Macaca fascicularis: one gene and its partners. The protein of the gene in region 3 interacts with the protein of the main gene of each other region in a pairwise test. Links are inferred from orthologs where the notes say so. Each region holds a gene or a part of one and is shown on either strand. Other genes may lie near its edges. The genes, in order: SAXO1, JUP, FHL2, SP2, ZNF131, KIAA1217 and GLYR1.

Evidence for each region.
Region 1: the proteins of FHL2 (region 3) and SAXO1 interact in binary tests that used the Homo sapiens proteins (3 or more experiments, as listed by UniProt). The two-hybrid records come from large-scale screens. The link is inferred for Macaca fascicularis from reciprocal best matches to the Homo sapiens genes FHL2 and SAXO1.
Region 2: the proteins of FHL2 (region 3) and JUP interact in binary tests that used the Homo sapiens proteins (3 or more experiments, as listed by UniProt). The two-hybrid records come from large-scale screens. The link is inferred for Macaca fascicularis from reciprocal best matches to the Homo sapiens genes FHL2 and JUP.
Region 4: the proteins of FHL2 (region 3) and SP2 interact in binary tests that used the Homo sapiens proteins (3 or more experiments, as listed by UniProt). The two-hybrid records come from large-scale screens. The link is inferred for Macaca fascicularis from reciprocal best matches to the Homo sapiens genes FHL2 and SP2.
Region 5: the proteins of FHL2 (region 3) and ZNF131 interact in binary tests that used the Homo sapiens proteins (3 or more experiments, as listed by UniProt). The two-hybrid records come from large-scale screens. The link is inferred for Macaca fascicularis from reciprocal best matches to the Homo sapiens genes FHL2 and ZNF131.
Region 6: the proteins of FHL2 (region 3) and KIAA1217 interact in binary tests that used the Homo sapiens proteins (3 or more experiments, as listed by UniProt). The two-hybrid records come from large-scale screens. The link is inferred for Macaca fascicularis from reciprocal best matches to the Homo sapiens genes FHL2 and KIAA1217.
Region 7: the proteins of FHL2 (region 3) and GLYR1 interact in binary tests that used the Homo sapiens proteins (3 or more experiments, as listed by UniProt). The two-hybrid records come from large-scale screens. The link is inferred for Macaca fascicularis from reciprocal best matches to the Homo sapiens genes FHL2 and GLYR1.

The regions. Positions count from the first base shown.
Region 1 is NC_088389.1:79,936,738-79,940,237, forward strand, and holds part of SAXO1 (stabilizer of axonemal microtubules 1), read left to right. Parts: intron 1-4; coding exon 5-207; intron 208-3,500. UniProt on the Homo sapiens protein: May play a role in the regulation of cilium length. Stabilizes microtubules at low temperature.
Region 2 is NC_088390.1:62,820,550-62,824,829, reverse strand, and holds the start of JUP (junction plakoglobin), read left to right. Parts: upstream 1-1,480; 5' UTR 1,481-1,688; intron 1,689-3,763; exon of another isoform or gene 3,764-3,797; intron 3,798-4,280. UniProt on the Homo sapiens protein: Common junctional plaque protein. The membrane-associated plaques are architectural elements in an important strategic position to influence the arrangement and function of both the cytoskeleton and the cells within the tissue.
Region 3 is NC_088387.1:9,795,376-9,798,875, forward strand, and holds part of FHL2 (four and a half LIM domains protein 2), read right to left. Parts: intron 3,236-3,500; coding exon 3,066-3,235; intron 1-3,065. UniProt on the Homo sapiens protein: May function as a molecular transmitter linking various signaling pathways to transcriptional regulation. Negatively regulates the transcriptional repressor E4F1 and may function in cell growth.
Region 4 is NC_088390.1:58,807,366-58,810,440, forward strand, and holds the end of SP2 (transcription factor Sp2), read right to left. Parts: intron 1,736-3,075; coding exon 1,635-1,735; 3' UTR 501-1,634; downstream 1-500. UniProt on the Homo sapiens protein: Binds to GC box promoters elements and selectively activates mRNA synthesis from genes that contain functional recognition sites.
Region 5 is NC_088380.1:43,506,273-43,510,415, forward strand, and holds the start of ZNF131 (zinc finger protein 131), read left to right. Parts: upstream 1-1,343; 5' UTR 1,344-2,095; intron 2,096-2,283; 5' UTR 2,284-2,424; coding exon 2,425-2,529; intron 2,530-4,143. UniProt on the Homo sapiens protein: Plays a role during development and organogenesis as well as in the function of the adult central nervous system. May be involved in transcriptional regulation as a repressor of ESR1/ER-alpha signaling.
Region 6 is NC_088383.1:25,337,187-25,339,506, forward strand, and holds part of KIAA1217 (sickle tail protein homolog), read left to right. Parts: coding exon 1-901; intron 902-1,414; coding exon 1,415-1,537; coding exon of another isoform or gene 1,538-1,552; exon of another isoform or gene 1,553-1,752; intron 1,753-2,262; coding exon 2,263-2,320. UniProt on the Homo sapiens protein: Required for normal development of intervertebral disks.
Region 7 is NC_088394.1:5,657,771-5,662,048, reverse strand, and holds the start of GLYR1 (cytokine-like nuclear factor N-PAC), read left to right. Parts: upstream 1-1,478; 5' UTR 1,479-1,501; coding exon 1,502-1,539; intron 1,540-2,557; coding exon 2,558-2,594; intron 2,595-3,605; coding exon 3,606-3,685; intron 3,686-4,278. UniProt on the Homo sapiens protein: Cytokine-like nuclear factor with chromatin gene reader activity involved in chromatin modification and regulation of gene expression. Acts as a nucleosome-destabilizing factor that is recruited to genes during transcriptional activation.

The DNA of each region.
Region 1 (3,500 bases), on a different chromosome or scaffold from region 3:
ACAGGAGAGATTTTGGGCCTCACAAAGTGGCACCAGTGAAGGCCCACCAGTATGACCAGTTCGTCCCAAGTGAAGAGAATATGGATTTGCTCACGACGTATAAGAAAGATTACAATCCCTACACTGTCTGTCGAGTGGACCCCATCAAACCTCGGGACAGTAAATATCCATATAGCAACAAGATGGAGTATTTGCCTACTTATAAAGGTGGGAGAGCACAGAGGGGCAGATTGGGGGAAGGACAGGCTGAGCCTGTGTGCGGGCCAGGAAACGTGTTTAATGTGCAAAGTCACTTAGTGCAAGAGTTGGCAGGCTACTTCCTACGGACCAGATCTGGCCAGCAGCCTGTTTTTGTATAGCTGGAGAGCTAAGAAAGGTTAAACATTTTTTTTTTAATAATTGAAAAACAAATCAAAAGGCTATCATTTGAGGACTGTGAAAATGATATAAAATTCAAAATTCAGTGTTCATGTTTTATTAGAACACAGCCATATTCATTCACTTACACAGTATCAATGGCTACTTTTTGCACTATAGTAGCAAAGTTGAGTAGTTATTGACAGAGACACCACATTCTGTGAGACATAAGACACTTAACACCTGGCTCTTATACAGAATATCTGCCAACCCCTGCCTTAGCTTGCAGTTTGAATCCTATATTGGGGGAAGCACTTCAAGTTCAAGCTAAGTTAGTTTCTACCATTGATTAAGTGATTGATTCATTCACGTGTTTAAAAAATATATCATTCACGTGTTTAAAAAATATATCAAAATGTAACATGCATATGGAAAAGTATACAATTTATAATTATACAGATCAATAAATTTGCACTGAACAAATCCATGTAAACAGTACCCAGATCAAGAAATATAACATTACTACCCCATTTCTGTCACCCTCCCCAACGAGAACGTAACCGTTATTTTAACCTTTAATACCTTACCTTAAATTAGTTTTGCCAGTTTTGAACTTTATATAAACAGGATTGCTTCTTTCTTTATTGAGTATCTATTGATATTACCTACGAGGTGTGGTCCTAGAAACTGAAGGAAGCATAATGGCCTGCCCTCGACTTTCTGGCCTAGCGGAGAGACAGGATATGTGGTCATATGTGTTGTGCTAGCAGACAGCCACTCTATGGAGCTCAGCTGCAAAGACTGAGACCATGAGACTGGAGACCAGGTTTGTCATCAATAACTCATGCTTATGATACCCACCTTTGCCCTAGGAGGACATGCTAAACAGTTCACAGACCTCTCAATGCTGTGAAGAGAGGGGGCCACTTTTCTTTAGTCAAGCCAAGCATTTAGGGTGAAGATGGTGGTGGAGGTAGTGAGGTTGGAGGGATGTGAGCTCCTAGAAAGGCCTCTAATTCTGTCATCCTGGAGGACCCTGTGCCTAGTTGAGTTTCTCTGAGTCTTCCAGGAACTGAGGACTGGATTGGCATGGGCCTCTTCAGCAATCTGAGCTCTGCCCTTTTATTTTCTTTAGCTTCCTCCTCTAACACTCACCCATGGCTACTTTTGGTCGAGCCACCTTTTGTCAGCAGTACAAAAACTGATTAATATTCTGAATGTTATCATACCCCGAAATGGCCCCACTTCTGAAGCCTTTGTGCACATTGGCATCCTGTCCTCTGAGCTTGTCCTCTTATCTCCTCCCACCATGCTAGTCCTTGGCCCTGTTGGGACCTCCAGTCCATTGACATCTCAACCCTCCCTCTTACCACCAGCCCCTCCTGTGTCTGTCCCCCCCCACGGAGTCTACTCCATGGCCTATCTTTGGAGCCCATCTGCTACTGATAGCCAAGACTCCCTCTCTCTTCAGCCCTTTTGCTATTTCCTCCTGGCAAAGCCGTAATCCTGTTTTCTGCATGTCTATACCTGGGCACACACCTGAGCATATATCCAGTCTTGTCAGCTCTTACCCATTTTCCACAGAAAGGGAGCAGAGCAGTCTTCTAAACATGGCCATCTGATGTGACCTCTCCTGTGTATGAAACTCCTCAGATAATCATTTGATAAAATCATTATTTTATCAAATCATATGATCCTATTATGATAAAAACCCAAACCTTGACTGCCTCCTCTGATGCCTTGGAGGTCCTGATGTCTAAGCCCATCTGCTCCAGCCTCAGGGCCTTCTTTCAGGTCCCTTCCTACATTTCTTTTCTGCTTCAGGGCATTTGTTTAGCACATGTGATGTCTTCTACATAGAATCCTTCTGCTTCCTTGATCGAGCACTTACCCTTTCAGCTAGCAGCTGAAAGATCACATTCTGAGCCCTTCCCTATGTCAGACTGGATGCTATATGGGTGCCTTGCACTCCCCTGTCTTGTCATTCATTGTGTACTTTTAATGCTTCCTATAATGGCCAGGCTGTAAGCTCCAAGGGGCAGGGATCTGTTTGTCTTTTTCTTTGCCAATTACCCTCTCACAGCAGGCACTACACAGGTAGTCCATACAACCAGGTGTATGACCGTGGGCAGGGTGTTGGGGGGCACTTTTGCCTCTACTGAATGCATTCTTCTCCCTTTTAATCCAGTGTTTACAAGAAGACCAGAAATAAGGCACCACAGACATTGAGCAAGTGGGATAGAGGAATGAAACTGCAGTAAGCGCTTTCCACCATTGGTGGAGGGGATAAGGGACTCTGATAGGGCATATCCAATGGCGGACTCACCTCTCCTCTACACTGTCTTTGTGTGCCCTGTTGGTTTATGAATCTTAGTATAGGGAGAGACTCTTCAGAGCTCCTGCCTGTCAGTTCAGTTCCTTGTCTTCCACCTTTCCCTAGGTGCAGGGAGAGGTCCGCGAGTGAAAAATGCTCCTTGCTTGTCTTGGGGATTGGCAAGGATGGAGGAGGTCTACATGTAGTATTTAAAGAGAAGTCCTCCCTACTTATCCCCAGGAAGCTACTTACCACTCAACACACACACACACACACACACACAAACACATGCATGCATGCACCCCACCACACCCCACCAGTACTCTTTAATCTCTTTCACTGCCAGTTTCCCCTGTCTCTCCCTTTGTCCATATAGCTACATCTCAGGCTGTCCTCTTCAAACTACAGAAGAGTGAATATTCCACAGCTTAAACTGAATCATGGCTGACAGGGTTTGGCTCTCTGCCCCCACCAAATCTCATGTCAAATTGTAATCCTCAGTGTTGGAGGTGGGGCCTGGTGAGAGGTGATTGTATAATGGGGGTGATTTCTAATGGTTTAGCACCCCCCTACCCCCTTAGTACTGTATAGTGAGTGAGTTCTCCTAAGATTGTTTAAAAGCATGTGGCACCTCCCCACCTCCCGACTCACTCTCTCTGTCCTGCTCCTGCCGTGTAAGATGTCTTCTCATGCTTTGCCTTCCACCATGAGTAGAACTCCCTGAGGCCTCCCCAGAAACAGATGCTACCATGCTTCCCGTATATCCTGTAGAACCATGAGCCAGTTCAACTGCTTTTCTTTATAAATTACCCAACCTCAGGCATTTCTT
Region 2 (4,280 bases), on a different chromosome or scaffold from region 3:
TCTCTACCCCAGGCTCTCCTATCGTGGAGGGATGTGCTACCCAGTTTCTTTTTTTCTTTTTCTTTTTGTTTGAGATGGAGTCTCACTCTGTCACGCTGAGGCCGGAGTGCAGTGACATGATCTCAGCTCACTGCAACCTCCGCCTCCCGGGTTCAAGCAATTCTCCTGCCTCAGTCTCCCAAGCAGCTGGGATTATAGTTGCCCGCCACCACGCCCAGCTAATTTTTTGTATTTTTAGTAGATATGGAGTTTCACCATATTGGCCAGGCTGGTGTTGATCTCCCGACCTCAGGTTATCCACCCACCTTGGCCTGCCCCGTTTCTTTCATGCCTGGGTTTCTTTCAGATCTGCTGCTTGATGTTTCCAAGCCCATCAAAGCCTCCTGACACCAATACTGTATTTTTGTGCCAATTAATTGTTCTGTCTCTCCTCCCAGTGTTTGTGCCTTTTCTCTGCCCCTTCCCCCATTGCCTTGACATTTTATGTCTATGCATTTTATGTTCCATGAAGGGAACAGCTGGTTCGATGGTCCTTCAAATGAGAAGGAGGTTCTAGCTTGGGGTGTGCCACTTTGTAGTTTTGTGACTTATCTGAACCTCGGTTTCTTCATCTTTACAATGAGGGTCGTTTTCTCATCTTAACTATTTTTTCAGAGCTGTCACAATAATTAAAACAAAAATATCATTAATTTAAATTCTAACCTTTAGCAGTTTCCGAGTGCTTTCACAAACCTGACTTCATTTAATCCCCACATACTCCAGAGAGGTAGATACGGCTAATGTATCCAGTTTACAGATGAGGAGAAACAGGGTGAAGTAACTTGTCTAAGATCATACTAAGTGGGAGAACACAAACCCTGGTCTTCTAATTCTAAATCCCAGGAGTACTCCATCTTTGGGGGGAAAAAATCCCAACCCAGCACAAAGCCTATGAAATGCTATACAAATATGTGATTACTACTTTGGGGCAAGGATGAATAAGCCCAAAGAAGCATCATGCTTGACGCTGAGTTGGCTGGCCGGTGAAGGCGTCTGTCCCTTCCCTTAGTATCCCCTGACTTACCTGTTGGACAGGTAGGGGGAAGGGGAGAGTAATGAGTCTCACCTGCTCAGAGCAAGGGTGGGGCAAGACACACCCCATCCCTTCCATTGGTTTTTTCCTTAGTCTTACTGACAGCCCCTTGTCCAATCAGGAGGAAGTAACTTTCTATCTGCCAATAGGTGCAGTGTTAGGATGAGACCTCAAGTTAGAGTCCATCCCTAGAGCCGACTGGCAGTCCCTGGGGCCAATGGCAAGCGGATAAACAGAGGCGGCCGTGGAAGAGGACTGGAGGTGAGGCTCCGCCCCTCGACGGGACAGTCAGGCGAGACAGCCAGTGAGCTCGCACCAGAGGGTGGGCGTCTCCCCCAGGGGCGGAGCTTCGAGGTGGCGAGGGGCGTGGCTTGGCTGTCAGGTCTCTTTGCCTTTTGTTCGGTTACTGAGTTGCTGCCTTGGCCAGAGTCCGGAGCAGCCGCCGCCCGACCACGCCGAGCTCAGTTAGCTGCCTGCGCCGGCTCCCACCCCGGCCCGACCCCGACCCGGCCCGGCCAGGCCCCATACTAAGGTGCGGGCGATCGGGAGCAGGTATCGCTGGGGAGAGAAGGGGTGGCGAGCGCCCGCGAGGCCGGTCCCTGCCGTCTCTGGGCAGGTGAGGGCGGGTGCCATGGAGCGCCACCCTGCACCGGCGGCAGGGGGCGCGCTGGGGTCCTGGGCGCGGCGACCTGGGGGTCGCGCGGTTTGGGCAGAGCGCGCCTGGGAGCTCCGCGAGCCAGAGATCTGAGCAGGGCGGGAGGGATCCGGACAGGTGCCTCCGGAGTCGTGCCTCCCCCGGGGCCCGCGCCCCTCGCCCGACGCCGCGTCCCTGACTCTCGCCCTGAGCTGGTGGGGGAGACTTTGCCCTGCTTTGACTGCGTCCCAGGGCTCACGCTGCAGTCAGGAATTTACCGTTTGGGAAACTTGCTGCCGCTGGTCTCTGGGGCCACTCTCACCCCACCCCACGCGTCATCCTCGCTTTCCCTCCCTCCCTACTCCCCCAGGCCTGGGTGGGGCCCTATTGTCTGCGCCCAGCTTGCCCAACTGTGGGGGCCGAGCACACATTTTCCTAGCGACGCTGGCCCCACCTGCCGAGCAGGTGAGCGCACGGAGTCCAGAGGCCCTGCCCTCCAACTCCCAGAGCCTCGTCCATACTACCTGCGGCGCCTCCCTCCACTCCGGTGGGAGCCGGGCTCTGGCTTCTTCAGCGGAGGTGGGATGGAGTGACAGTGGTGGGTGCAGGGCTCGACCCAGTGTCCAGCTGGTGTGTCTGGCATCCGTGGCTCGCCCTGGAGTCTGGGGGGTGGGGTCTGTGCACGGATGAAGAATTCAGGGTCACCTGGCCCAGTTTCCAGTAGCTGTGGCTGCTAGAGTGTTGGTAGGGGAACAGGACCCGTCTTCTTCTCTAACCTCTTATTGTTGGAAAAATCACCCAAAACAAACTTTGCAGGAGGAAGTATTCACAGCAGCTTGATCTGGGGGTTTTCCTGTCTCCTTGCCCAAAACTTCCTTTAGGCTTAGGGGGTCCTTCTTGGTGCAAAGCCCCTTCCCCTAGCCGGCCCCTGGCTGAACCTGGGCGGGTGCCTGCGCTCCGACCCTGTCTTCCCTGCCCCCACCTTCATCCTCTTCGCTGGGCCCCAGGGGCCTGAGGTGGGGGCCGGGGTGGGGGGTGGAAAGTGCTGAGAGGGGAAGCAGCTTCTTCCTTCTCTTCCTGCCTCCGGGGACCACCACACCCCCTCAGACGAGGCCTGCGTAAGCGGCTCTCTCTCTCAAGCTCTGCCCCCTCCCCAGGAATGGGGGTGGGGCAGGGCTGGGCCAAACTGAGGAAGGTGGGGGGAGTGGTTGTTCTTGTCTTTTTTTTTTCTCTACCCCATCCCCCACATTACTTAGCTGGCTGGTAATTGAGGCAAAAGAGCATGAGGCTGTGGGACTTGCCTTCCATTTGATTTCTGAATTATGAAGGTGCATGCTTTCTGGAGGCCTGCACAGACCTTTCCCACCCCCTTTCCTGAAAGAATTTGACAGGGAAAGTGAGACCGGAGGAAGGCTTTTTGGGGGAAGGTTTCTTCAGTGCTAGACTCCCTCAGGCAGAGCTGCATCGGGCCCCTGCCTTCCCTGCTCCCAATTTCCTGAGACCCCCCCACCCTCCGGAATTGGGAATCTTGACCAGGCTTTCTACCCCGGTTTAAAAAACAATCTGAAGTGTGGTCTTTTTGCAGGATTTGGAGCCCAGCCTCCTTGGGGAACAGAGAGAGAATACCACAGTTGGGTTCTCTCTCAGTCCTAGGGGTGGGAGAAAGATTGCGGGGAGCGGGGATGGAGAGTGCTTGGAGGGGGAGAGTCTACCACCTCTTTCTTTGTTGTAGATGGGGGAGTGAGGCTGGGGGCCCAGACTCAGCCCCTTTATCCTGGGTGGGGATCACGCTCAGCCCGGGGCTAGGGGGAAGTCAGTGTGGGAACTCAGATCCTTTTCTGCTGGAGGAGGGGGGCGGTGCACCTCTGGGGCGCAACAGGAGCACGGAGTTTGGGCAAAAATAACCTGCTTTCCCTCTTCTCCCTGCCAAGGTGGAGGAGGGGAGGGCATTGTAATTATGTTGGCTAAATGATTAGTTTAGCTAATCTGGTTTGTGGCTGTGATGAAAAGATAATACTGAGGAAGTACTACTAGGAGGTGCCTGGTGAAAACTGGCCACTGACTGGACTGGGGGACGCGGAGGAGGAGAAGGTAGGACCCAATTAGTCATTTCTTGCTAGATCAAGCCCCAGCTTGGGTGACTTGAGCCCTCCCACCCCCACTCCACCCCTCCCTTGCACCCTGGCTCCACTCCATTCCCTCTGGAACCTCTGGGCTGCCAGGGCTGAGGCTTTGAGAATGCAGTGTATAGGAACGAAAAAGGTCGGGCTAGGGCTGCCAACCTTCTTCCCTTCCTGGAGCCACCTTAGAATGAGATCGGTCAATTGACTAGTCTACAGAAGGACTGTTTGTTTGGAGAGATGGGACAGTGGGGCAGTTCTGAGCACAGGGCTTTGGGCTTGAACTGAGCTGGGTTTGAGAACCAGCTCTGTCTCTCATTACATTGCCTGAGTCTCAGTGACTTCTTTGGCAAAATGGGAATACAACACCTATCTACCCGGTAAGTACTTGACAAATGGTAACTCAAGATCAAGGTCAGACTTTACAGAAACCAAGCACTTTCTTTTTTTTTTG
Region 3 (3,500 bases):
TGCAAAGCCACACAAGGTGGAACGGCCATCAGTACCTCAATTTTACCTGGTATTTTTCTCCAAATGTTGCATCTCACATTCTGTTTAAAAATGCGTGCGTGGTGGAGCTGAGTAAGCTATCAAAGGAGTGTAGGTGGCCTCAGCTTGGCAAACGAAGGCCATGGAAGATGGAGTGCAAGCACCTCACAATCACGCTTTTTTGCTTTTTATTTTTTGAACATTTCAGTATCATCCAGTAATTCCTTTGGTCTTTACATAAAGCTTGTGAAGTAAGAAAGATACTAATTTTATGGGTGAGTAAACTGAGACTCAGAGAAATTAAAAAGTGACTTGCTGAAGAATTCATAGCTGGTTAATGACAAAGCAGGAGCTAGAATTCCAGACTCCCTTCTATCTTGTATTCTTTTCATTAAACCATGAATCATAAAGCATCTTCCTATAACCCACCCCACCGCACAACAGAATGAACACAAAACACGCTTGGTTGCAACGCATCCATATGCATCAGTAGCCTGTGTGTGTAAGACGTCTCCTCTGCCTGCAACATACGTCCTCAGTCCTCCCTCACTCCGGATTCCATGCTTCCCACCCACATCAGCTAACTCGATGCCTCTCAGCATAGCATGATTTTCTCAGAGACTCCCTCCCTAAACGCCACCCTGGCCCCCGACTCCTCAGATGAGTTGAGGTCCCTCCATTCCACACTCTGCCTTTCTCCTCCACAGCACACTGCTTAGTAACGACTGACGGGTTTGACACTGGAGTGTACTTCCAGCTAGACTGCAGTTAAGTGTCTGCATCTTGTCCAGCATCGGATCCCCAGTGCCTGAGAGGGCCAAGTTCATGTCGAGGAATGGATGCTTCTGGCGTGAAGGTTTTTGTGTGTATTTAACGAACATGCACACAAAAGGCATGCATCCCAGAAGGATGTGTTGCTTTCATTTCCGCAAATGAATAAAGCACACACTGGAAAGATGACAGAGGAAGAGCAATTCAGATGAACTTCTGTTAGGTCTTGATGAGAAAAACAAACCAAAATGAAAATAAAAAGGGGAGAGAACAGGGAAGAGAGTTCCTAAAATAAAAGCAAGAATGAGACCTCAATCTAAGAATAAAGAAAAAAACAGGAGTTCGTGACCAGTCTGGCCAACAAGGTGAGACACCATCTCTACTAAAAAACACACACACACACACACACAAAAATTAGGTGGGTGTGGTGGTGGCGCCTGCCTGTAATCCCAGCTACTCAGGAGCCTGAGTAGCTACTCAGGAGCCTGAGGCAGGAGAATCGCTTGAACCCGGAAGGCAAAGGTTGCAGTGAGTTGAGATCATGCCACTGTACTACAGCGCAGGTGACAGAGTGAAACTGTCTCAAAAAAAAAAAGCATAAATGGAGAGGAAATTAAGAGAAATAAAATCTAAAATAACAGTAAAGAACAAAAGGGGCTGGGTGCAGTGGAGGCGGAGGCAGATCGATCACCTGAGGTCAGGAGTTCCGAGATCAGCCTGGCCCACATGTTGAAACCCCGTGTTTTCTAAAAATACAAAAAAGTCGGCCAGGCATGGTGACGTTTGCCTGTAATCCCATCTACTTGGAAGGCTGAGGCAAAAGAAATCGCTTGAACTGGAGAGGCAGAAGCTGCAATGAGCCAAGATCGTGCCACCGTACTCCAGCCTGGGTGACAGTGTGAGATTCTGTCTCCAAAAAAAAAAAAAAAAATGGAAACGAGAGAAAGGCTGAATGGAAATTGGTAAGAATACTCAGCACTTAGAAAAGGTGCAGGCAAGGGGGACATTCTTGCCCAGGCCAGCCAGGTACAGGTAGAGGCACTGGGATGTTTCTCCATGGCCAAGAGGCAAGGGTAGAGGCCCCAAGGGCAACACAGCAGAAGCTGGGTAAGCAGGGTCAATGAGAGGTTGAGAGCAAACAGAACCTGCAATGAGTTCCACAGCTGGCATTGCCCAGGGCGAGTGAGCCGTGGGAGGGTGCCACTCAACAGGCTGATGCAAAGCCTAACAGCACAGAGACGCTGGAAGCTACGGCATAATCAGAGTTGCGTGTGTGTGAGAGTCAGAGGGCACAGCAGAAAACCAAGTTCTACCCTGACGGGCACAGGTCGGGGGGCAACTGGGCAGAGAGTTGGCTTCCTACAGATAGGCAGTTCCCTTTCTTTCTTTAACCCTAACAGAGCCATGACTGGAACAGATCGAGTAGTTAAGTTTATTTATTGTTATTTTTTTAATTTTTTGAGATGGAGTCTTGCTCTGTCACCCAGGCTGGAGTGCAGTGGTGTGATCTTGGCTCACTACAACCTCCACCTCCCAGGTTCAAGCAATTCTCCTGCCTCAGCCTCCCGAGTAGCTGGGATTACAGGGGTGCACCACCATGCCCAGCTAAGCTGTGTATTTTTAGTAGAGATGGAGTTTCACCATGTTGCCCAGGCTGGTCTTGAACTCCTGACCTAAGGTAATCCACCAGCCTTGGCCTCCCACAGGTGATCCACTAGCCTTGGCCTCCCACAGTGCTGGGATTACAGGCATGAGCCTCCTTGCCTGGCCAGAGTAGATACATTTGATAAATGATCTGTCCCATATCCACGGGGGCAGACTTTTCTCCTTTACTTTTCTTCTCACATCCCGTCTCTCTCTTCTCCCTGCTCCCTCCCTTCCTCTCCCCCTCTTCCTTCCATCTTTCTCTCCCTCTCAAGTTTGCAGTTGTTTTCTTGGTTTATTCATGGAGAGAAGCTGAACAAGACAGCTTTGGGATAGTGGCTCCCCTTCCCTCTACCATCAGGTCATCGACATAAGAATATATTTAGAATGGTCTAGAAGAAGGCAGGGTTAAGCGATTTGATCACAGGAGCTCAACAGCGTTGATGTTTTTGAAAGAAGGATGGGCGCCCAGACCCAATGGATAAAGCTCGGCATGTAAGGCAGGACAGGCACAGCTCCCACGCCATTCCAGTATCACAGGTATCCTTGTTTTTGGAAAGAGAACTGACAGACATGGACCGTGGAGGCAAACCGGCCAGGATGTGCAAGGGCCAAGGGGGAATCTGAAATACCTTTTTGCACTGAACGCACTGCATGGCATGTTGTTTCTCATAGCAGGGCACACAGAAATTCTGATTGTCTTTGGGGATGAAACTCTTGGTTCCAATTGGCTGCTGGCAGCGGTGGCAGATGAAGCAGGTCTCATGCCAGCTGCTGCCCTTGTACTCCATCTTGCGGGTACCTGTCATCAGGGTCAAGAGGAACACAGCAGAGTTATGCTTAGAGGGGCGTGGAGTCCCAGCAATTGCCTTCAGAGCTTGCCACCCTCTAGTTTTATGACCAGAGCAAGTCACTTCAGCTCTTGAAGGCTCACCTCTAAATGGAGGTAATTCCTATTTTGTGCAGGGCATGGACTTTGTCTTTTGGTTCACTACTGTACACCCAGCTCCTAGAACAACACGTGTACATTTTAGGTACTTAACATTTATTTATTGAAAACCGTGGTT
Region 4 (3,075 bases), on a different chromosome or scaffold from region 3:
TGGCCCTTCACTTTGGGAAGGGACCTTGGCCCTTGGGGAAATGCATTTTTGCCAGACTGTAGCCTTTTGGAGGGGACTGAGCCAAGGCCCCACTGGCTCTCCTCTCTAAGCCTCTTGCTAATGGGCTCTGAGGCCAATGCCTTCCTCCAGGGGTTGGGGAGGTGGGTGGAGGAGTTAACTTGCTGGCTGAGGTCACTGCTGTGACTTGGCTCTTTGTATCTGATTTGTGTACAGGCAAAACTGGCTTACAGAAGAAAAAGGCAGGAACACCTGCACTGGGCCCTGGCCCTTGGAGGTGCTCTGGGGGCTCGTGCCAGTGTCGTGAGGTACATGTGGCTGCGGCCCCTTTTGGGCACGTGGCCTGGGTTTGCTGAGGGTCAGGAGGGTAAGGTCCTACCTTGATCCCAGTGTGGATCGCTCTGAGAGACCACAGCTCCCTCCTCTGGAGTCTCCTCTCCGAGCTCTCCAAGGGAAAAGACAAAGGAAGCCGAACTGCCAAGTTGAAGATTTTGCCTCAGGCAACTAAATTTATTAGCAAGAAAAAATTTTTGTCAGCCCAGCGCTGACCAACAAAGTACGTTAATAAAGGATAACAAATCTGTCACTTAATTCATAAAACATACCTCAAGCAGTTACAACTAAAAATAAAGTTGGATTTTTGTTTAATTTAAAAGCCTCAAAAATAACAAGCAATATGTTTTTAAACATGTAGTAGACACAATTGTCTATTATACAATATACACTGTACACAAGTAGAGCTTGGGCCGGGCAGGGGTGAGGTGAAGGGAGAGGGAAGAGGTGCAGGATGGGCAGGTGCTGTTATCTGAATCCAGATTTGAGTTTAAATGCTGTGTCATTTAGAAAAGGGAATTGCTAGAGTGAGAAAAAAATTCATATGCTCATCATTGCCCCCAACCCTCAACTGAAAGCAGGCATTGGGGAGGTGAATAACAAGGAAAGGAAGAAGGGAGCAATTAAATAAAACTTCTTTAAAGCACACACAGTACACAGTGTTCATCATCTGAAGTAGAGAGTATAAGGCAACGTTCTCCATAGAAAAAGAGGGGGATCAGGAGGAGTCGGTGGGTGTCTTTACTTTTTAAACAGAGCTGGAATGTGCTGGAGGAGAGGTTGTGGCGGGGCTGGGCACATGGAGTGGAGGTGGCCCCGAGTCTCTCCAGAGGTGGGTGCCAAGCCCCAGGGCGTCCACAGTGGCCGGCAGGGCCAGGGAGGTGCAGGAGAGTGGGCATGGCACGATGCGACTCCGGCAGTGTTGGGAGCGGGGATTGGGGTGGGGGGTGGGGGCTCACTTTGCTCCTCGACGGAGTGAAATGCATGTTTTTCCTTTGGAAATAAGGGTTCCCACGCGTCCTGGTTTAGAACGTCTCATTGGGCACGGCCAGTGTCCACAGTCTGGGCAGGCCGGGAGCTCGTGGTGAGGGGAAGGGCCAAGGCGGAGCCAAGGGGCTTCAGAAGGAGGACAGGGAGCAGAGCCCCTTCCTGTGGGGACAGTTGCAGAACAGGAGTGGGGCTGAGGGCAGGCCCAGGGCAGCCACAGGGCTCCTTTCCACCAGGGGCCCAGGGAGGACACAGGCGGGGGATTGCATCTTCAGGGCCTCCCGCCGCAGTTGGCCTTACAAGTTCTTCGTGACCAGGTGGGTCTTGTAATGCTTGGTGAGGTGGTCACTCCTCATGAAGCGCTTCTGACACTGGGCGCACTCGAAGCGTTTGTCCCCTGGGAAGAGGAGATGCCCATCACCCACATACCCTGGGCACAGACCCTGTCTCTGCCCAAAAAGGTGGGGTGTGTGTGAGGGGCACCCAAACAAGCTGACGTAGCCTTGTCACCACATTCTGCCCACCTCCTGCTCTCACATTTGCTCCCTGGTGCCTACTCATCTAAATCTTTTTTTTTTTTTTTTTTTGAGATGGAGTCTCACTCTGTTGGCCAGGCTGGCATGCAGTGGTACAATCTCCGTTCACTGCAACCTCCACCTCCCAGGTCAAGCAATTCTCCTGCCTCAGCCTCTCAAGTAGTTGGGACTACAGATGCCCGCCACTGCGCCCAGCTAATTTTTGTATTTTTGTAGAGAGAGGGTTTCACCATGTTGGCCAGGCTGGTCCTGAACTCCTGACCTCAAGTGATCCGCCCACCTTGGCCTCCCAAAGTGCTGGGATTATAGGCATGAGCCACCACACTTGGCCCCCTACTCATCTAAATCTTTTTATCAATTCTCATTTCTCTCTGCCCCCATTTGACCTCTGCAGTCTATTTTGTTCCCATTCCTTGTCCCTGGAGCCCCTGCACCTAAGAGTCTTCCGTGCAGGGTTGTCCGCCTGCTTTCTTCTTCTGTCTCTCTGACTTTGAACCTGGATCAGCATCCTCCCCATCGCAGGAAAATCCCGCTCCACCCTGACCCTGCCAGCCCTGAGCACTCACTTAGTTGGAACCATGTTGACCCCAACTGCTTTCCTGTGGAGTGCTGGCTCCTCTGCCTTTTGAGGAGTAGGACCTGTCTCACCACACTGGCCGGGAGCTGGAGCTCTGGGTCAAGCTTCCCTCAGCCCTCTAGCCCCAGGACAGGTGTCTGCTCACTGCAGGCATTCACTATAGCAGTGTTTGCCAAAGTGTGTGTGTGGACCACTGTGGATACCCAGGACAATTTCAGGTGGCAGATGTATGAACTTTTTTTTTTTAAGAGATGGGCTCTCGCTATATTGCCCTGCCTGATCAAACTCCTGGGCTCAAGTGATCACCTGCCTCAGCCTCCCAAAGTGCTAGGATTACAGGTGTGAGCCACTGTGCCCAGCCTGGATCAATATTTTTAATAGTTTTGCATTGATTTGCTAGTACCTAAAACTATAACTGTGATATCTCACTTTGGGAGGTAGAAGAGGGAGGATCAGCTGAGCCCAGAAGTTTGAGACCAGCCTGGGCAACACAGTAAGACCCTGTCTCTACAAAAATTTTAAAATTAGCCAGGTGTGGTGGTGCACGCCTGTAGTCCTAGCTACTCAGGAGGTTGAGGTGGGAGAATTGCTTGAGCCCAGGAGTTCAAGACTGCAGTGAGCCAA
Region 5 (4,143 bases), on a different chromosome or scaffold from region 3:
ACAGGAGTTATAAACCACACGGGTGGCGATAATGGGGGTTCTTATTACGAAAGAGAAACTTGCTGCTACTAAAATTATGTAGGCATGGTTAAAGTCAGAAATGTTACGGCTAGAAATCTCAAACTAGAATACATCTCAACTTGCTAGGGTAAGAAATAGCTAAACTCTGACTTGGTCAGACTAAGAAATCAGGAGTTTGAGATCAGCCCAGGCAACCTGGCGAAACTCCGTCTCTAGGAAAAATACTAAAAATTACCCGGGCGTGGTGGCGTGTGCCTGTGGTCCCAGCTACTCCAGAGGCTGGGGTGGGAGGATCGCTTCAGCCCGGGAGGCTGAGGTTGCAGTGATCCGAGATCGCGGCACTGCACACCATCCTGGGCGACAGAGCCGGACCCCGTATCAAGAAAGAAAAAGAAAAAGAACCAAAGAAAAAGAAATTACCATCGCACAGTTAAGTCTGCCTTGCTAAACAGTGACTTCTAGGATCAAGAAATCGCAGCCAGGGCTAGACCGGTGTTTGCCCTAAACCGGGACTTGCTTAGGCTGAGAAATCACATTTTGGCTATTGATTTGTACAAGAGGTAGCAATCGCAGGCACCGCGAAATCGAAACTTGCGAGAACCAAGAAGCCAACGACGCGCGAAACCGCAGAGGCCTGGGACAGAGACGCGAGCGGCGGCGCCGCCAGAGGACTGGGTTCTGGAGGCTAAGCCAGAACCCCTACGACGCCGCTCGCGGCGCTGTGAAGAGACGGCGCCCGCGCAGCTCCTCTGCCACTTGGCTCAGACGAGCGGCGGGCTCCCCCGCCCAGCGCCGCCGCCACCCGGGAACGCCAGACTCTGCGCAACTGGCTGCGACTCCAAGTCCCTCAGATCAGCGACCAGAGCGCTGCCGCCACGAGAAAATGGAGGCACCGAGGAACAAGCTGTGCCGCCACCAAGAGAACTCGGCTCCGCGAAATGGCGGTGCCGGGACTCTGCGAGTGACGCCAGCCGGAGGAGTTCCCAAGGACAACATCCGTTTTGGCGCAACCAACTGTGTTGTCACGGAGAAAATGTCGACCCTCGGAAAAGAGAGGTTCTGCGACCGAGAAATTCGGTGCAACAAGTGCTGTGACAGAAACCCTCCCCCCGGCTCGGCGCTGTTGGCGAAAGAGCCAACAAAACGCTGGGTGCTGCCACCGTGACACCGACTTTAGGACACGGGCCTCGGATGGAGAAAGGAAGAGCACGGAGCCACCGCCTAACTTCCTAATGTCTTCAAATAGCGAAAGTGCTAACCGGAAACTGCCGGCTGGGTTTACCTATTGGTGTTTCGCGTGGGACCAGCAGATTCCAGAAACCAGAGGGACTGGAACCTAGTACACCTCGGCAATTGGGAAATGACCTACCAGGACAAATAACTGCTTCTGGCTCCATGGTGCTGCCCGTGAACATCCGCCGGCTCTGAGAAACGAGCTGCACTGTCAATGAGAAACCGTGGGCACTGAGAAAGGAGCGGGCTGCAACGGATAACTGCCCACCCATTGCCACTAGGACAAAGTGCTGCCGGCACTACTCCCACCCTCCGTCCTCAAATCAATCCTCTCCCGCTTAAGAAGACCTTTATTTTTCATAGCGAAGTCATACCGAGAGCCCCAGCAACCGACCCCTTGCGATGTGCATGGGAAAAGGAGGCAGTATAGCGATCGAGAATCGGGCGGATTAGGCTGGCCCTGGAAACAAAGTAAAAGCCATCCCGGTCGCCAGCCGTCTTCCACTGCAAGAAACAAACCTTCCAGTGGCTGGGCTCCGCCCTTCTCCTTGGTCAGAGCCCTCCAGACTCCTAAGAGGAAGCCGACACCTCATCCCTTTGGAATTTGAAGCTCTCAGTCCAAGACCTCAGTGGAGAGTGAAAGACACAATGCCGCCTGACCCAGGCTTCAGGCCTGCCCGGGCAGCTAGGTACCTCTCCAGGGGATGGAACTCTGTGGGAACTGCTATTTAATTCTGATGGTTAACTCTGTCAGATGGCCTTGATACATGGGAATAATCGTTGGAAGAGGGTAGAGGAAATAAGAACCGCAAGACTCTAGCACAGGACGTGTGGATTGATGGTGAGGCCTCTGTTCCCTCTCCCCTTGAAATCCTCAAAGGGCAGCTCCATTTCTATCACCTTTGACCTTTGAAATTCATCCCTGATGTCTTCTCCATCTTTGGGAAGTGCAGTGCAATTTCAAGCTCTTCAATCTTCCCTCTCCCCCATTTGTCAAATATGCTGACGCTACAAACTTCTTTTTTATAGGAAGCCTGAAACTGCCATTGAGCAGAAGGAAAACATCCCTTTCCAGAAGCTTTCTCGTTTCTCTAAAAATCTGCACTTTTGGAAGTGATCCCCCAAAGAGACCTCCAGACTCTACCATGAGTGTCTCCAGCTGAATTCATCATGTCTAATCCTCACCCTAGCTTATCCTGTTCAAATCATTTCCATCTTTTTCTGGATGAATCTGGGCGGATGTCAGACCAGAGAAGAGCACAAAATGCACCAGAGGTAAGAAGACCCATTTTGGGCTCTCACTTCTCACCCACTCCCGAGATGGCCACCTCCAGTCTTCCCTCCCTATACCCTACCCTTTCTTCAGCTAGCCAAAACCTGCCCTGGTACTTGAGGCTTCTTCAATTGCCTTCTTTTGCACGCAGTAGAATAAAGGAAAGAGGACAGTGTCAATAGAAGAAAAGTTACAGCCACTTTATCTAATTGAAGATACTGTGCAGAGTCTTTGAAAAAACAAAATATCCCACCCACCATTCCTCTCTCTCCCTTTCTACCCTAGCTTCCTATTTTAGCAAAAATGCTGGGATCAGCACTTCTGGAGGGAAGGGATCACCCTTCCAGGTTAGGAATGTGGAGAGGAGTTATGGAGCTCACTTCCCTAAAGGAGGGGGCATTCTAGTTCCGGCATTCAGATTCAGTCTGATTCCAATATGGTGTTTTTGTGGGGTGGTCAGAGAAAGGGCAAGTCAGGAACTGTATATTCCTCAGCTAGAGACTCTAAGACATTTGCATTTGGAAAATCAGGACAGATGCTGATATTGTTTGGCTCCATGTCCCCACCCAACTCTCACCTTGAATTGTAATAATCCCCACGTGTCAAGGGTGAGACCAGGTGGAGATAACTGAATCATGGGGGGTGGTTTTCCCCATGCTGTTCTCGTGATAATGAGTGGGTCTCCAAGATCTGATAGTTTTATAATTGGCATTTTCCCCTGCTGGCACACATTCTCCTGCGCCCCTCTGAAGAGGTGCCTTCCACCATGATTGTAAGTTTCCTGAGGCCATGCAGAGCTGTGAGTCAGTTAAACCTTCTTTCTTTATAAATTACCCAGTCTTGGATATTTCTTCATAGCAGTGCGAGAATGGACCAATACAGATGTGGTAGAGTTGGGTGCTGGGTGGCAATGTCAGGTATATGCAGGTTCTAGGCACCAGGTCAAATCTGGAATGCAAATTATGGGACACAAACCACAAATGATGTCCAGCCTTTAATATTTTCTTTCATTGTTTGTCAAATAGACAAAGAAACAAAGAATAAAGAAAAGCATTTTTTTTTTTTTTTTTTGAGACAGAGTCTCGCTCTGTTCCCCAGGATGGAGTGCAGTGGTATGATCTCGGCTCACTGCAACCTCTACCTCCCCGGTTCAAGTTATTCTCCTGCCTCAGCTCCGAGAAGCTGGGATTACAGGTGCACACCATCACACCTGGCTAATTTTTGTATTTTTAGTAGAGACAGGATTTCTCCCTGTTGGCCAGGCTGGTCTCAAAGTCCTGACCTCAAGTGATCTGCCTGCTTCAGCCTCTCAAAGTGCTGGAATTACAGGCATGAGTCACAGTGCCCAGCCTCAAAGTATATTTTTGTAAAATTTTATCAAGATAAACCTAGCTAAACCAATATACTAATAATAACAAAACTTGGGTTATTATTCACTAAAGGAAGGTGGCACAAAATAGAAACATTTTTAAACGTTCAAAAAAAAATCCAGCTAGGCGCAGTGGCTCACGCCTGTAATCCCAGCACTTTGGAAGGCCAAGGTGGGTGGATCACGAGATCAGGAGATCGAGACCATCCTGACTAACATAGTGAAACCCCATCTCTACCAAAAATAC
Region 6 (2,320 bases), on a different chromosome or scaffold from region 3:
CCTGGACAAGAAACCAGTGATCATCATTTTCGACGAGCCCATGGACATCCGGTCTGCATATAAGAGACTTTCAACTATCTTTGAGGAGTGTGATGAGGAATTAGAGAGAATGATGATGGAAGAAAAGATAGAGGAGGAGGAAGAGGAGGAAAATGGAGATTCTGTAGTCCAGAATAATACCACTTCCCAGATGTCTCATAAGAAGGTGGCCCCGGGCAATCTTAGAACAGGACAACAGGTGGAAACAAAGTCACAGCCACACTCTCTGGCAACAGAGACCAGAATCCCAGGGGGACAGGAAATGAACAGAATGGAGCTGGACAAGTTCAGCCACGTGGATTCTCCACATTCGGAATGGAAGGGTGGCGACCTGACCGATGACCAGTTTGAAAGCCCTAAGAAAAAGTTTAAATTCAAATTCCCTAAGAAGCAACTCGCCGCTCTCACTCAAGCCATTCGCACGGGAACTAAAACAGGGAAGAAGACTTTGCAAGTGGTAGTCTACGAAGAAGAGGAGGAGGACGGCACCCTGAAACAACACAAAGAAGCCAAGCGCTTTGAAATCACTAGGTCTCAACCTGAAGACAGCCCTGGAAACATGCTGAGGAGGGAAGAGCAGTCCAGCATCGAGAGCACGTCTCCGATTTCAAGAACTGATGAAATTAGAAAAAACACCTACAGAACGTTGGATAGCCTGGAGCAGACCATCAAACAGCTTGAAAATACAATCAGTGAAATGAGTCCCAAAGCCCTAGTTGATACCTCAGGTTCTTCCAACAGAGATTCTGTTGCAAGTTCATCCCACATAGCCCAGGAGGCCTCTCCCCGGCCCTTGCTAGTTCCGGATGAAGGCCCCACTGCCCTAGAGCCCCCTACGTCGATACCTTCAACTTCACGTAAGGTATCTTGGTCTGCTGGAAAATGAAAAGACCCGGCTGCTTTCCTAAATCTGCCATAATCACCATTAGCAAAAGGTGTCTTGTGACTTAATTGCTTTCTTTCAGGTGGCTTTATTTTATTTTATTTTATTTTTTTGTCTGTTCGCCATGAAACCCTTCTTTCATACTTTCTCCCTCACCTTCAAAACAACAACAACTAGGTGTCTAACAGCTAATCAATTCTGTTTTTGCCTCTGTTGCTGACTGGTGTTGGGTAAACACGAGGCTGCCGGGTCAGCCATGTGCTGTTGAAATCATTGCTCTGATACTCACATTAAAATCCGTTTGATCAGTAGTGAGCAGTTGATTCTGTTTGATTTTTCTGATTAACCCCAGTTGGTGTCTCCTAGATCTGTCCTGCATGTAGGGCTGTGGCTTCTCACCTTGAGCTTCTCTGAACATAGTGGAGCAGCCTCACGGATGACCTACTCACGTGCTTCTCCTTCTCTTCCCCCTCTCACTGGTCCTTCCCACAGGGCTCCAGCGGGGCCCCACAGACGAGCAGGATGCCTGTCCCCATGAGTGCCAAGAACAGACCCGGAACCCTGGACAAACCTGGCAAGCAGTCCAAACTGCAGGATCCCCGCCAATATCGTCAGGTAGTTTTACCTTAAACCCAATTTTGGATGGACGCTATTTCAGTTAAGAAGCAAGTCACTGACTTAGTTTATACCAAATATTGTGCTTTCTTTGTAAGATAACGGTTTACATAGACATCCTGGATCTGGGGGCATGAAGAAAGTCTAAAAACCATTTGTTAAACTTTTTCACCACGCTTTTGCATGCTTACAATAAAACATCTTTTACTTTGTGACTCCAAGCTCCAAATTTTAACTGTTAACACACGGTGCCAGACCAGGTGGCTTTTCTTTGGTGAATGTAGTGTTTCATCTGAACACCTCGGGAAGCAGAGACAAACCAACCTGTGGTGGAACTGCCCTTAACGTCACCACTACTAACGTCTATGTTGACTGTATTGCGTTAGAAGCACATTAACGCTCCGTCAAAATGCCCGACCCCCACCCCAGTAATTATCCAGACGCATGGCCCACCTGGCACACGGGAAATGATAGAGCTGGAATCATGGGACTCCTCTCACAAATGCGTTCTTCCTTTCCTCCTTTCCTGTCCATCCTTTGCTATGTACGTGGGGGGTTTCTACCAGGTCCAGTAAAGCACAACAAGACTTAGCTCAGGCCTTGAACTGTGTGTGGTTGGTTTTCTTTGATTGAATTATTCTCAGAAGGGCTGTGTTGCCAGGCCCTGTGGGTTGATCACGTGTCCACCTTTCTGACAAAATGTCTCCCACCATCTTTATTTGCAGGCTAATGGAAGTGCTAAGAAATCTGGTGGGGACTTTAAGCCTACTTCCCCCTCCTTAC
Region 7 (4,278 bases), on a different chromosome or scaffold from region 3:
TAAGAATTTTTAAACAGGAACATGTTATTTTTATCAAATTATTCCCTAGTATCTCAAATACGCTTTCAACATCATTTTGTCTTAAAAATACATACACAGTAAAATGACAGTTCATGAAGTTAATTCTTGGTACTTCAGGAAAACTGATCTCCAAAAAAAAATCAGGCTGCGGGACGACCCAGTACGCTAAACACCGACTTGCAACCGAAACCTCTAACCACCAAAATGCCTTGGGGAAACGCGTGGGGACCCGCCACCTTTTCCAGCAGGCTGGAACTCAACAAGAGCCCGACACCAAGTCTAAGTCATTCCTTGACACTGTGGAGTCTGTGATCAGGTCTGGGATCTTTTGCAAAACTGTGTTTCTACCCGGTCTGCTGAAGTTTGGGCCGGCGCTGCGCTCAACCGCAGCTAACACTTCCCACTTCATGGTTCAGTTTTCAAGTGTCCAAACTACGCCCGGCATCTGTCTTCCTGTTGTCACAACTTTTTCAGAAGTGCCAAACTACGGCAAGGCTAACGGGAGAGCCCGGACCCGACAAAGACACGCACCTTTGTCCCCAGAGCCGACGCGGGCCGCAGACGTCCCCCCGCGGCGGTCCTCATGCCGGTCCCCGGGCGGCGGCGCAGCTAGCGGTCGGCTCCCGAGCCGTGGCTCCCTGCGGGCGGGCGGCCCGCGCCTGGGCCCATGACCGGGTCCCCGCGCCCAGGGGAGCCTGGTGTGCCGCGCCGCGCGCCGGCCCAGGAGGAAGCGAAGAAATGCCAACTCGACGTCCGTACAGCCACTCTGAGGACACCAAGGGGTCGGGGGAGCAGCCTCCGGGCGCCCCGGGAGAACTTGCGGCGCGGGACCACGCGCTCAGACGGCGCCTCCGAAAGCGGCCGTCGGGAGGAGCGCTCCAAAGAACACGGGCGGCAGGAGCAGACGGGCGCGGACACCAGGGCCTCCCGGTCTGCGGCCAAGAGGAGTAGCCGGGCGCCGGAGCCCAGACCCGGCGGAAGCTGAGTTCCAGGCCGCGCTGAGCTCCGTCACGGGAGCTCACGGGCGCAGCGACGGGGCCGACCAGCGCCTCGGGCTCGGGAATGGCCCCGGGGCCCGCGCAGGACCAACGGCCGCAACGGAAGCGCCGAGAGGGGAGGAGCGCGGAGTCCAAGGCCCGGGGGCGGGGCAGGCCGCGAGGCCGGCTCCCTCTCGCGCTCAGCCGGTCGCACCGTCGCCGCCGCCGCCGCCGCCTCAGACCGCGGACGCTTCGTTGTCACGAGCCGGAGGGAGGGGGAAAGAGCCGGGAGTCTCTGCGCTCCGGCGCGCGGAGACCGCGGCGCTCGCGTCACGTGCCGCTCGGCCAGCCAATGATCCCCGACAGGCGCGGTGACGTCGGAGCAGCGGCGTGGCCGATGACAGCCGGCCCCCATCACGTGGTCGAACCCACTCCAATGGGCGGCGCCGAGGCGACCTGCTTGTTCCCGGCGGCCCGTGCGTCGGCGGTGGTTGGGTGGTAAGATGGCGGCTGTGAGTCTGCGGCTCGGCGACTTGGTGTGGTGAGTCCGGGCGGCCGGGCCAACCGAGATGCGCCGGGGAGCTGCCCGCCAGGGTGCTGGGTTCGCTGCCGGCCCCGGAGCTGTCTTTCTGTGCGCTCCAGGTCGCGGAGAGAGGGGAAGAGAAGGTGCCGGCGCTTCCGAGCGGCGCCGGGCGGAAGGGGCAGTCCAGTCCCGGGGGACCGAGGCCGAGGGTGGCCACGGCGGGCACCGGCTTTGATCCCCGAGGCCGCCCGGGAGGGTTCTGCACTCGGGGCCCAGATACTGGCGGCCCCTGTGAAAGGACCCGCCAGTGCCGCGAGGCTTCCTTGGACGACTTGTTCCCGGGGTCTTGCTGGGGCTTCCCAGAAAGCAGAAGCGCCGGGGACCGGACCTGCGAGTCCATCTCGCCGGTGCCATTCGGTTAAAGCCCAGGTTGCGATGCAGCCGACCTGTGCGGGCGGCTCAGCCGGGATTGTCTAAACCGGACTTCTGGCGTTGCCCCGCGAAGAAACGGCGGGGTAGTTCTTTACAACCAATGGCTTGGCAGTGACCAGTGCAGGCTTGGGTGCCTCCCGCGTTCTGCTTCTCTGTCCCAGACAACCGCCCGAACCAAGGCTGATTGTCGCCGCCTCCCTCGAGCTGCATAGCTTGTTTCTCCACCCAGAGGAAGGCTTCCATTAGCATTTGTCAAAGCCAGGCAGGTCTCCTGTTGAATTAAACCAGACTTAGGGAGGGAAAGTCTGTGTTTACAGAGGAAGTTGTCCTCCCACCCCCGTCATTAAGAAGCTCCAGACAAGTGACTTTTGACAGTTGTGTTGTTTTGTATTCCTTGTCAACAGAAGAATGGTTACACGTTGTGCACATAAGTATACAATTTTGCATTTTGCTTCTGAGGGTCTTGGGCCCAGCTGTGGAAGCTTTTGTTCCGCCACTTGAGGATGCCAGCAGAGATTTAGGAAAATAAATTGCGTACTGAGTGGGTTGAAGGAGATAGGCTGACTTTTCCAGGTCGAGTGTTAACTCTGTGTTTTTTCTCTAGGGGGAAACTCGGCCGGTATCCTCCTTGGCCAGGAAAGGTGAGTGTGTTGCTACTAAAGGAAGATATCTGAAGTTGGGTTTGAGGAGGTGGAGAATGTAAGATGCATTCCTCTCAGTTTCTAGTATTGAGTTAAACTGGGCCCATTCAGATGGCACTTAGAATTTTTTTTCTCCTAGTATCAGTTATTTTTTTAAAGGCAATGCAGTATATTCCAGATCATTAAATCTGCTCTAAACGCTTATTTCTTGATTTAGAGAAGGTTTATGAAGTTTCTTTTTTAACCCCGGAAATAATTCTAATCTGAATTTAGCTTTATGCTTAAATGTAACAAAAGGAGAAGAAAATATAAATTATCCAGGAAGAGAAGTCTAAATGTAGGTTAGTGAAAAGCCAAAGTATTTTTGTCCCAACTAAGTTTAAATCTTCTTTCCATGTTACCATATGTGCTACTCCAGTGCCTCTTTGCAGAAGTTGGCATTCCAGATTTTGCATGAGGTGATCCATCGTTGCTTTCCAAATGTGTTTTTATATTCTTGCTTGGAGCCCAGGAAGTGTCTTTAGATGGTCTCTTTGCAATATGGTGTTTTCTGTGCCTCAGTTGTCCTTTGTTTTCACTATGTCCTGTCTCAACTCTTCCTGCACAGGAAGTATTTCAAAGAGGGTCCTCTGCTTTTTTTCAGTAATGATGGGGTCACATTGGGGCGGGGCAGGTTGGTGGGGGGCAGGAGATGTTGTTGATCTTAGTTTTAACTGCTTGTAAAACAGGGCCTCTACAGTGAAAGGGATATTGTGTCTGCTGAGCACTGTGCTACATGTTAAATATTGGGAACTTGTAGAATATCTACACATTTCCACAAATCTCTAGAAAAATGGGAGATTTAGACAAGTACTAGGCCTTGGGTTCTGTTTTGTATATAAATACATTTATTTGTAAGTCATTTTAATTTACTTTTTTCTTCCCAACATAGAGCTGTGTAGAGCAATGTGGAGCCACTAGACAGTGGGCTGCGCGTTGCCAGCCAACCTTTTTCCCCCTTTTATCCTCCAGATTGTTAATCCACCAAAGGACTTGAAGAAACCTCGTGGAAAGAAATGCTTCTTTGTGAAATTTTTTGGAACAGAAGATCAGTGAGTAGTATTCACCAGGAGTCTCCCTTTACCTTTCTTTCTGTGTTACCTGGAGTCTGAGCTGCTTTGAAAATATTCTAAGGATCCTTAGTTCAGTCTTCTTATAATGTATAATACTGGCATCTCATTCTGGCTTCATACCTAAATAAAGGTGCAATTTCTTGCAGAAATTGCCCTAGACAACTGTCCTAGGCCTATAACTAAGTCAGGCAAGAGCTAGGTTCATTTACCTTCTAAATGTAATAATCACATCGAAGTAGTTTCTCACATGTTTCTTTACCCAACTCCAAAGGCAGTTCCTTTTTGTTTGTTTTTGAGACAGGGACTTACTCTGTCACCCAACCTGGAGTGCAGAGGCACAGTCTCAGCTCAGCACAACCTCTGCCTCCCCAACTCAAGCAGTCCTCTCACCTCAGCCTCCCGAATAGCTGGGACCACAAGTGTGCACCACCATGCCCAGCTGATTTTTTGTAGAGGGGGTTTTACCGTGTTGCCCAGGATGATGTAGAACTCCTGGACTCAAGCAATCCACCTGCCTTGGCCTCCCAAAGTGCTGGATTATAGGCATGAACCACCACCCCCAGCTGGCAGTT